Drosophila melanogaster: one gene and its partner. The protein of the gene in region 2 interacts with the protein of the main gene of each other region in a biochemical or structural test. Each region holds a gene or a part of one and is shown on either strand. Other genes may lie near its edges.

Evidence for each region. The genes of interacting proteins can lie anywhere in the genome.
Region 1: the proteins of dpr9 (region 2) and DIP-beta form a complex in vitro, tested with the Drosophila melanogaster proteins (one study listed by BioGRID).

Annotation. Positions count from the first base shown.
Region 1 is NC_004354.4:21,454,703-21,459,733, forward strand, and holds the start of DIP-beta (Dpr-interacting protein beta), read right to left. Parts: upstream 3,037-5,031; 5' UTR 2,849-3,036; exon of another isoform or gene 2,764-2,848; intron 1-2,763.
Region 2 is NT_033777.3:15,074,198-15,078,869, forward strand, and holds the start of dpr9 (defective proboscis extension response 9), read right to left. Parts: upstream 3,010-4,672; 5' UTR 2,839-3,009; intron 2,090-2,838; 5' UTR 1,933-2,089; intron 1-1,932. Other genes in the region: CG6974 (uncharacterized protein), read right to left, coding at 4,333-4,672.

The sequences.
Region 1 (5,031 bases), on a different chromosome or scaffold from region 2:
ATGTACATAACTTGTTTCGCTTAGACCCAATAAGCCGACATTTAAATATCCTTTTAAAGTCTCAAAAGGTTCGTCAGAATCGGAGACAAAGTAGCTTGAAAAGTAAATGTATTATGAGGGCAAACTACAGTTTCAATTAGAACTCATTTTTAATTATACCCCTAAGGGCTAGGTAAATGGAGGATGTGGCATACATTATTTTGACGGTAACATTGTAATGAGTGGATGCAAACAATTTTTGGCATGTGAATGGATAGTGATAATGAAATATTCCCCTCCACCTTCAACAAGATTTAAAGCCTGAATCTGAAAAGCAGACAGGTTCTAGGCTTATGGGCGCCAAGCAAAAATGTCTTTGGCGTTCTGTAGGGGCTTGCAAGATAATTAGAAAAATAATATTTTAAAACCTTTTTTAAATTTATAATTAAGTACTCAGGTTCTTTTAAGTGACTACGTTTACTCTAAGTAACTGAGTTTATATGTGGAAGTGTTTCAAATTCATTTCTGATAATTAAATTTGGAGATCATCATATATTTCGGTTCCAATGTGAGCCAGTTCAGGGTCAGTTCAGACCAATACAAATAGTTCCATAGGCGCAGAACTCGCACACAATTCCTCTGTGCTCAGTACAAAGATCGAGAAATATTTCCAATCTCCCAGACGCAGCACAAAACCAAAGATCCCTTTTCTATTATGAATTCGGATGGATTCCATTCGGATTTTATAAGATATTAGTTGATTAACCACTAGACACGGCGGACAAGGAGTCGCGAAGCTTCTTGCCTTGGTTCCGGTTAACCAGATGGAATCGAGATGAGTCTCAGTCAAATTTCAAATTAATGCTAACTGAAGTGCATGACTTTTTTTGTGTTGACCGAGATGCCAAAATTTGGCAATGGCTTTGGGAAGTTTCGGGGAATTTCTCGACAGGCAAACAAAAAAAATTAGGTATTTCGGAAGTATGCATTGTATACATTTTGCAAAAAGGGTTCCCAAATATAATGACAAAATGTTGCACATAAATTTTGATTATTCGAGACCAATAATAAAATTAATTACGTTCCCAAAGTAAAGTTTCCCAAAAAAAAACCATTAATAAAGATTTTGGAAAATTGCGTTTACAATTTTCTCTGTGCACTTTGAAGCTTGAGATTTCCTGTGCCCAAAAAGGTCCAAATTTACATTTGCCGCATAAAGCCCTTTCATTTGCCTCTTTGCTCTTTTTGTGTGCCACTGCATACATTTTACACACTTCATTATTTAATATAAAATGCATCCTCACACGCACACCTGCGCACAAGGGAAGACAATTGCTGGGCAAGGCGATGCGAATGAGTAAAAACGTTATTTAATTAATTAATTTTCATTAAAAACACGACAAAATGCGACGGCTGGTGGGTGGGGAGCGGATGGTTGCGAACAGGGTCGCAGAGGGGCGCAGAGGGGCGTGGCTGGACGGCGCAGGACATTAAAGGACGAGCAGATGCCTGCTCCTTCCTTGTCCTGTCACGCTGGCTGTCATTTACAATTTTAATCTCGCTGTGCAGCAGTTTAGCTTAAGTTCGGACGTCGGGATAATGAGCGGCCAGGTCCGCGCTTAAGGATAATGGAGCCTGCAGCTGGACAGTACTCCCTGTCCCACTCCATCTGTAATTAAAAAATCGCGCATGCAGCCAGCACTCCCTTCACCTGGTCGAATAAGGGCCAACGACCAAGTTGGCTCACAAATTTCATGGCTAATAAATCACTTTTAATATTAATAAAACATAAATCATTGCCAACTAAAAACTTGGCCTGCTAGTTGGATGCTGCAGTCTCATTTTGGCGCCTTTTGTTCGATGGCAAAAAGTTTCGGAGGAGTCTTCCAGAAAAGGTACCTCAAGAATGTGCCAAACTGGTGGCGGATGGCGAGGGATGAGCGAGAGATTGAATGGGGTTTTAAAGTTCAGGTGGGTGAAAGTTCTTGAAGGAAATCAGAAACACAAAAAGGGTTCAAAGCAATACATGGATACCGGATTTAAAATAAAATTGAATTCGGATCGTCTTACAAACCACTAAAAAAGATATTGAAAACCTTACTTAATTTTTGCAATGTGTAATGTATGCTATCATATTATATAAAATATATAATTACAAACAATTAAAAACGAAAAGAACACAAGCTGACAGTTTTATAATTATGTTAAACAATTTATCAAATCGTTAGTATGCGACAAAATGTACGATATGATTTTGACCATAAAAGGTGACTACATTTTCCCCACACGAAGGTATAAAGATAGTTGTTTTTGGGAAAAAAAACTGGCAAAAGTTAATTTGCAACTTGGCAAATCAACTGTTTTATTTACTGAAAACAAGAAACGAGAATAAAGGATTCCAACGAGTGACGAGTGACTCACATAAATGCAAACAAAGAAAGTTAATGTTAGAAAACGGAAAGGACATAGAAATTCAATGAACTGAAAAGGAATTCACTCATGAACAGTCGAGAGAATTCGCAAGAAAACAACTCGATTGGTGTAACAATTGGTTGAAAGGCTGAGAAAAGAAAGGGAATGCTAACATACCACCGATAATGCAATTGACAAATGAGTGAACAAGCGTATGTGAAATGATTTAGGCAGCGATCGACGGGCAATGGAGTAAAGGACTAAACGAGGGATTGGCTTCACCTCACTAGTGTAGTAATTTCTAAATACGCAGTCACAGCTCACATCGTATGCTTCGCGAAAAACTTTTGAATTTTTGGGTCTTAGAATTACCTTGTTCGAAAAAACAAGCAAAGCTTCGAAACTAGTCCAAAGCACTGGCCAACACTAAAAAAAAACTTGAAAATAATCAACTAACACTTGTCAAAAACTCTTCTCTCGACTTTCAGCTAGAGTAATTGTATCATTGTATCGTTGTTGTTTCGCGCCACTCGAAACCCGTTTTCGAAACTTTGGAATTTTTAGTTTGAAACTGAGTCCTTTCGTGTCTCGAATCCACTGGACTGAACTGAACCGACGCGCTAGGAAGTTGCCCGAGCACTGAACCTGTCGCACCAAGCGCGTTTCGCATTGGGCCGACCCAGCGCAATGTGCTCGTCCTTCGGCAGCACGGCCATCCCGATTTCCCAATTTCCCGACTTCCGATGTCCTGGCACTGTGGAGTCCCGTGTCCCGTGCCTGCCATCCCGAGGCCAGCCGAAATGCTTCCGAAGGACGAGCTCGTGTGGCGGACGAAGGCGTCAGTGCTTGTCCTCTGGCAACATGTTGCCAGCAACATTTAGAAGCTGGTAAATTTACTAGAGCAATTGCCTTAACTTAAAACGCAGAGATCTGCATAAGTGGTTAGTTTTGCCCAGTTGATTATTATTGGTTGAAAAACATTCTAAAAGAAAAGAAAAACGAGTTAAAGTTATACAGAAACCAATTGCTGAAATATAAAAGGCTGTATGTTTTACCAAGAGCTAGTTTTTCGGTTGTTCGCTTTCATCATTTTTCAAATGGGATATAACATTGTTAGCTGTTTTGGAATACATATAGAATTTATATCAGCCGACTTTTGACGATATTTTAAGCCTTACCTTGTGCAAAAAATTAGGAAAAGTCAAAGAAAGACGAAAGCATATTGAAAATAAATCGAACGTTAGAAAATATATCTTTATTTTGCTTGATCACTTTTTAAAACATATTAATTAAATTTCCAAAAAAAGATTTTAATGAATGCGACTATCGGATATTTATTAATCACCTAAGGACTGTGCAAGGGAGATGGAAAGGTGGAAGCAAGCAGAAGTCTCAATAGACTTAACTTTTACTTAATTTACTTTACATAGGTTGCAATAGTTCGATTAAGGCAGTTTTTGTTGTTGAAAAAATAGGAACATTTTAGCTAGACATTAACGACAACTGTAACTATAACGTTTGAAGATAACTTGTAAGACTAGTCACTAGTTTTTATACACTTCCTTCTGCTTCTGTTACATACATACTTGTCAACGACTCCAGATTGCATTGTTTCTTAGCTAGGTTAGGTAACAAAACTTGTTTTGAGCACATCATCTTATTTTATTTATTTATTTAACAAAATTAAATATAGTATACAATACTAAACCTAATTAAATTTAATGAGTACTAGCTACGGGGGCCTTCGACTCGAGACTTATGGGTTAATTGCTTTATATAATAAACTTAGCTTTTTGGACAAATTTGTAAATTTTTGAGATATTTTCACAGGATGGGATACTTAAACAATTCGAGAGACTATGTGTACCAAATAAGTGAGATCTAATTGAGTGCAATTGACTGCAGGCGTTGAGAATATGGTCAACGGTGAGCTCGTCCCCGCATAGTTGGCATGTTGGTCGCGCCGATCTCGTCAGTAAGTGTTGATGTGTGGATTGGGTGTGCCCGATGCGTAGACGGATAAAGGTCGCGCATTCCCGTTTATGTACGTTCGTTGGTGGCTTGAACATGATGCAATTCGGATTGATAGACTGGTACCTGTGCATGAAGAGTGCCCATTCGGAGAGTTTCCTTTCTTTGAGGTATAACTTGATTCGACTTTTTAGGTCCTTGGAGTTAAACGGAGTGAACAGGATTGATGGTGTAAGCCTCATCTCTTGGGCGGCTTTGTCAGCAAGTTCATTCCCATGAATACCTTGATGACTGGGAACCCAGAGTAAGGTGATTTTTTTTGGGTGAGAACTTAGAATGTGCCTAACTTCTTGTGTTGTGGGGTCATTATGGTTCCAGTTGCGTATAGCGGAAAGAGAGGAGAGGCTGTCTGTGCAGATAACAGATTTTCCAGCGTTTTTGGAAGCGAATTGGCATGCTTTGAGAATGGCGAAAGCTTCGGCTGTAAATATGGAGTTGTAGGACGGAAGCCTACCTCCTGCAATTATTTTACGGTTAGAGTCAACGACCGCAAAAGTAGTTGCGCCGGTGACTTTAGAACCATCGGTGTAGATCCAGTTTTTCACACCAAGATCTTCTTGTGCGCTCATAAAACGTTTTTGGTATTCTAGGCGACCTGTATCCTTTTTG
Region 2 (4,672 bases):
AGCTGTCAGGTCAAACAAAAGTGGAACACGACCACAGGACCTTCCTTTTAACCGATTAATCAAATATGCATGACCAGAGTAATTATGTTTGATTAATACACCCATACGTACGCATATATACATATACATATATATTTCTTTTAATTATGTCTTCGCTCGGCTGCAATTGTGTGCGATTGCCATCAATTATATTTTTGCTTAACAATTTTCTCCTTTTGTTTGCTTTTGATTTCCTGCTATTTATCAAACATTTGCATAATATTTCATTCATTCAAAATTGTACGCTCAAAGAGTTTCACAAGTAAACAAAAGGGTATTCATAAAAATTTAAATCAAGTAAATATGTCAATGCCAAAACAAATATAATGGACGCGTTTTGTGTTGCACTTCCATTGCATTTTCAACTTTATTGTGCCATTTAAAAAAATATTGCAACAATTGTAAGCTGATTAAATGGGAAAATATATTCAGGTCATAGAGTCATAAGCAAGTTTAATCAGCTACAGTTACTTTTTGTATCAATCCAATTCGATGAATTGTAGGAAACCATGCACATAAAATACAATTTTTTGCTTATAATTTGGCTCAATATTATAACCCTTTTTTTTCTAACGAAAGAAGGGTTATTAATGTCGTTCTGAAATTCTATAAGCTCAACCGAAATATTTTATAGAGTAACCAAACAGCTTTTAAAGCCTATTTTCTGTTCGGCCTACTTCACTTATTTGTATCTTTCGGTTACTCGCATCTTAAAGCAAGCTTATGAATTTCTTTTCTGTGTGACTTAAGCTGATTTGGGCCAGACAATGAATAGGGAAAGTCAAGGCAAAAAAAAAAAAGGTTAAGTACAATAAAAATAATTTATGTATTTGGGCAACTTTCTGACGCGCAAAGTTCCATAATAAGTGACCTTGCTGAAGCAGCGTGTAAATAAAATGTTGTTTTATTTTCTTAGAAAATGTCTAGCATAAAATGGCAATCTTGTCGGGCGGAAAGTCTTAGTTACCTTTTCCCTGAGCTCACAGGTAATGGTGTTGGGAAAGTGGTCAAAGGTGTAGCATCTAAGCATATTTTCTAAGGCAATCTCAGTAATGGAAATTTGTGGTGGATGCCACAGAAATATGTGCCACATGAGTGGAAAGCTACGACTCTTAGTAAAACTGAAAACGAAGGCATTTCACGTGACCTATTTAAATGTAAGCCTTACCCATCGCGAATTTATGGTTCTTAGCAATAATGTTTCATTATAAATAATGGATCATTAGCTAATTAATTTCAAGAACTTAAAAGAGTTTAAATAGGCTTATTAGTATGTTTCCGAAGAACAAAATTTCAGTTCGTAGTAACTGAATCAGGTTTATGTTCAGTTGCCTGATAAAATTTTAATTAACCAACAAGTAGCTCTCAAATACTTATAACACTTATAATATTCCGTTTGTATATTAATTAAAAATAGTCATTATTATTTATAACACCTTTCCATCAGTGAGTCTTAATATAAGCTTTTAGGAGCATAAATTTGGTGTCCTTCCCCCACAACATTTAATAAAATAAGTTGATTGGAATACCACCCACCTGTATGTTTAGGCACGTGTGTGCCCAGAGAAATTCTTGGCATTTTCATAATTAAATTGAGCTAACAATCCAAGCTCCTCCCACCGGCAACATTTTTTCCTGAACAACTTCTAACCACAGCAAAGAGAAACAGCGAAAAAAAATATCACAATAAATAAAAATGTAACCGTACCACCCGTTGGCTTGGCTTTTCCGCCACTGGGAAAACCAACGCACCACCCAAACTCAAACAATGACACATTGGTTGATATGTGTTTTTGTTTTTTTTTTTTTTTTGTAAGGAAATACATGATTATTGGTGTTAACTAGTTAATGAAATTATTGGATAATTGGCTCAATAAAATTAAAAGGGCTCACCTTTGCTGCGCTGCTGTTGTCCTTTGATCCTGTTTTGTTGCAAATTTTTCGATGTTTGGGTTTTTGATAAAACTCAAAAGTTTCGGTACCGAATCTTTATGAACCTTGGAATTTTCGCAGTGCTAATTTTCACTTTTGTTTTTCAATTTTTTATCATCTAAATAAAGGGACTTTAATGTTTGCTTTATCTCAACCCATCAAGGCCTGTGAACTCATTTTATATGCCCCCTTTTTTTCATGTGTTGAATATCTCAGCCGTGTGATTCCCGTATTTAAACCATTTCTCGCCCTTTTTCCCATTTTATGCAAATATTCCCGGTTAAGCGGAATGCGACCCTAATTTATGAGCCCCAAAGGGAAGGCGAAAGAAAAAAGTTAAAAAGCAAAAGTTCAGACGAGGGAAAATCGCAACATTTTCCGAGAAATTTTAAAAGGAAACCCCAAAGTATTTCTTATAATTATTTCTAAAATTCTCGGACCGCGTTAAGAGATATACGTATTCCTGGACGACCTTGGCGGTCTTAAAAAACAAAACAGCACGCGAAGATGAATAACATTTTTTGTGTGAGTTGGCTGTATGTGCAACGTGCAACGAGTGCAACGTTAATATGCCACAGCCGCCGTGTGGCCTTGATAGGTAAGAATTGAGGTGAAGGATCAGTTGGGGCAGGTTCGGTTTTTAGTTTTAGTCTGGCTTAGTATTTTAGTTTGGTACTCGAATATTCAAGGATCGCTGGCACTCTTGCACACTTTATTTTGGGATATTCGTTTCACTTAAGTGTTGCATACTTGATTTTGCACACTGGCACGCAGGTCTAGATTTTCATTTTTCCGTAGATTTCTTCATATATTTCGTTGCTTTCACATTGCGTGCGTATATTTCACATTGGCTCATTTATTATTTACCTTTATGGCACACTGGACAACTTTTACTTTCGACTAGCGCACCCGTGTCCGTGTGAGTAAGCCCACTTGTGCGTGTGTGAGTGGCGTATTGAGGTTGTCCTCCGAACAGGACCTTCCACCGCTTTTCACCGTGAGAACGAACCGAACGATACGACTGCACTGAATACACTGAAAGCCACACGAACGGCGTCGGCTTGAAAAGCCAGGCGACCAGCCAAAGCTCCCATTTTCCTCTTCCCCTTTTTCGGCGAGAGAGCGAGCTTTTCCGCCTAGAACAGTGGGCCAAAATGTATTCATCCTGCCAGCTCACTTCCAGTCGGTCTTCACTCTCACCGATGGCACTTTCGAACTTCCCGAAACATGTGGAGTCTCTTTGATATCCGGCTCTCTTAAGGCAAGCATTTAATGGCCATCTGTTGGCATCCTTACGAAGCCACAACTCTTTGCCCCGCTTTGCAGAACTCAACACTTGCCAATAGTGCTATTTTGTACCACTCAAAAGGGTAAACTACAGCGTTTATTCTTTTGTTTGTTATTTATATTCTCCTTTAAGCAAACATTTACACATTCGTTGTATGTTGTTGCTAAATTATTAGTGGAGATACAGGAATACTCTCTTACTACCATGCGGCACATTTATTAGCTTTTATTGGTTTGTTTTCTGACAGTTTTCTTTAAAGGTCAAAGCTATTAAATAATATTCGTCACATTTCAGTAAATATTATTTCTATCTGGGCATATAAGATAATTCATGTCAAAATAATTGGATTCTTTATAGCAAAGATATATTCTTTAAATTTAAGCAGATGAAAATTTCTTCTTGCTTGGTTGATTCTTTAACTCGTACAATTCGATTTTTGCAAAGCTGTCAGGGATTTAAAAAGGTTATTTAAATTCCGCAATTGCTATCCATGAAATGGTATCCTGATCCAAAGTGGGTGGTTACTGGCCAGGGGAGTGAGAGACTTCTAATAGGCAGCTCCAGACACTCGGCCTTCTTAAGCACTTAGTGCACATTAAGTGCCAGGGATTCGGATTGTTTGCTGCCCAGTCGTTTGGACTCATGCCCAATCCACGGCAGACCCCATTCAGCATTGAGAAGCCCCGCTTTCTTCCCCAACTGCTCCTTAGTCTGCTTCAAAGTTAACTGACACTTACACTTGCACTTCTGTGAAATCAAATGCATTCGCCTTGGGCTTGGATTTGGATTTCCTTTATGTTCGAGCGGGGCTACCCATTTTCAAGAGGCTGGAAAAACGTTTTTCCAGTTAACGGACACTGAATGATTGGGTAGCATTAAACGGGTAGCACTTTTCGGGTGGGTGGGGCTTAAATGACTTAGTGATAGACTTAAATGAAAAGCCATAAAAGATTGAAAAACCATGCAATCGGTCTGAAAGTTTGCATATTAAACCATTCCATTTAAACACATCCACTTTAGAACGCAACATATTTATTAACCAATCCTAGTCCTCGCAGAATTCTTCCTCCACTCTAGCACTTGTACATCAAACGAATTTTGGTCCAATCCCCTTCGGAAGGTCCTCGCACCTGACCCATTTCCCTCTCCACAGCCTTACCACCGATTAGGGCACGAATTGTTGGCTTTGAGGGATCCTTGGCGAAGGCGTTCTTCGAATAGTGCATAACGCTCTCGTAATCGTATGGAACATTGAAGGTGGTTGTCTGATCCATGGCCATGAACTGCGACCAGTATTTCCTCGGGATATTGTCGTAGTCGATTTGCACGTACTCATCGCGATCGGGACGACTCTGCTCGTGGAAAAGGCCCAGCAGGTGAAGGGTTTCGTGTTGAATTACAGCCGGCATAGTG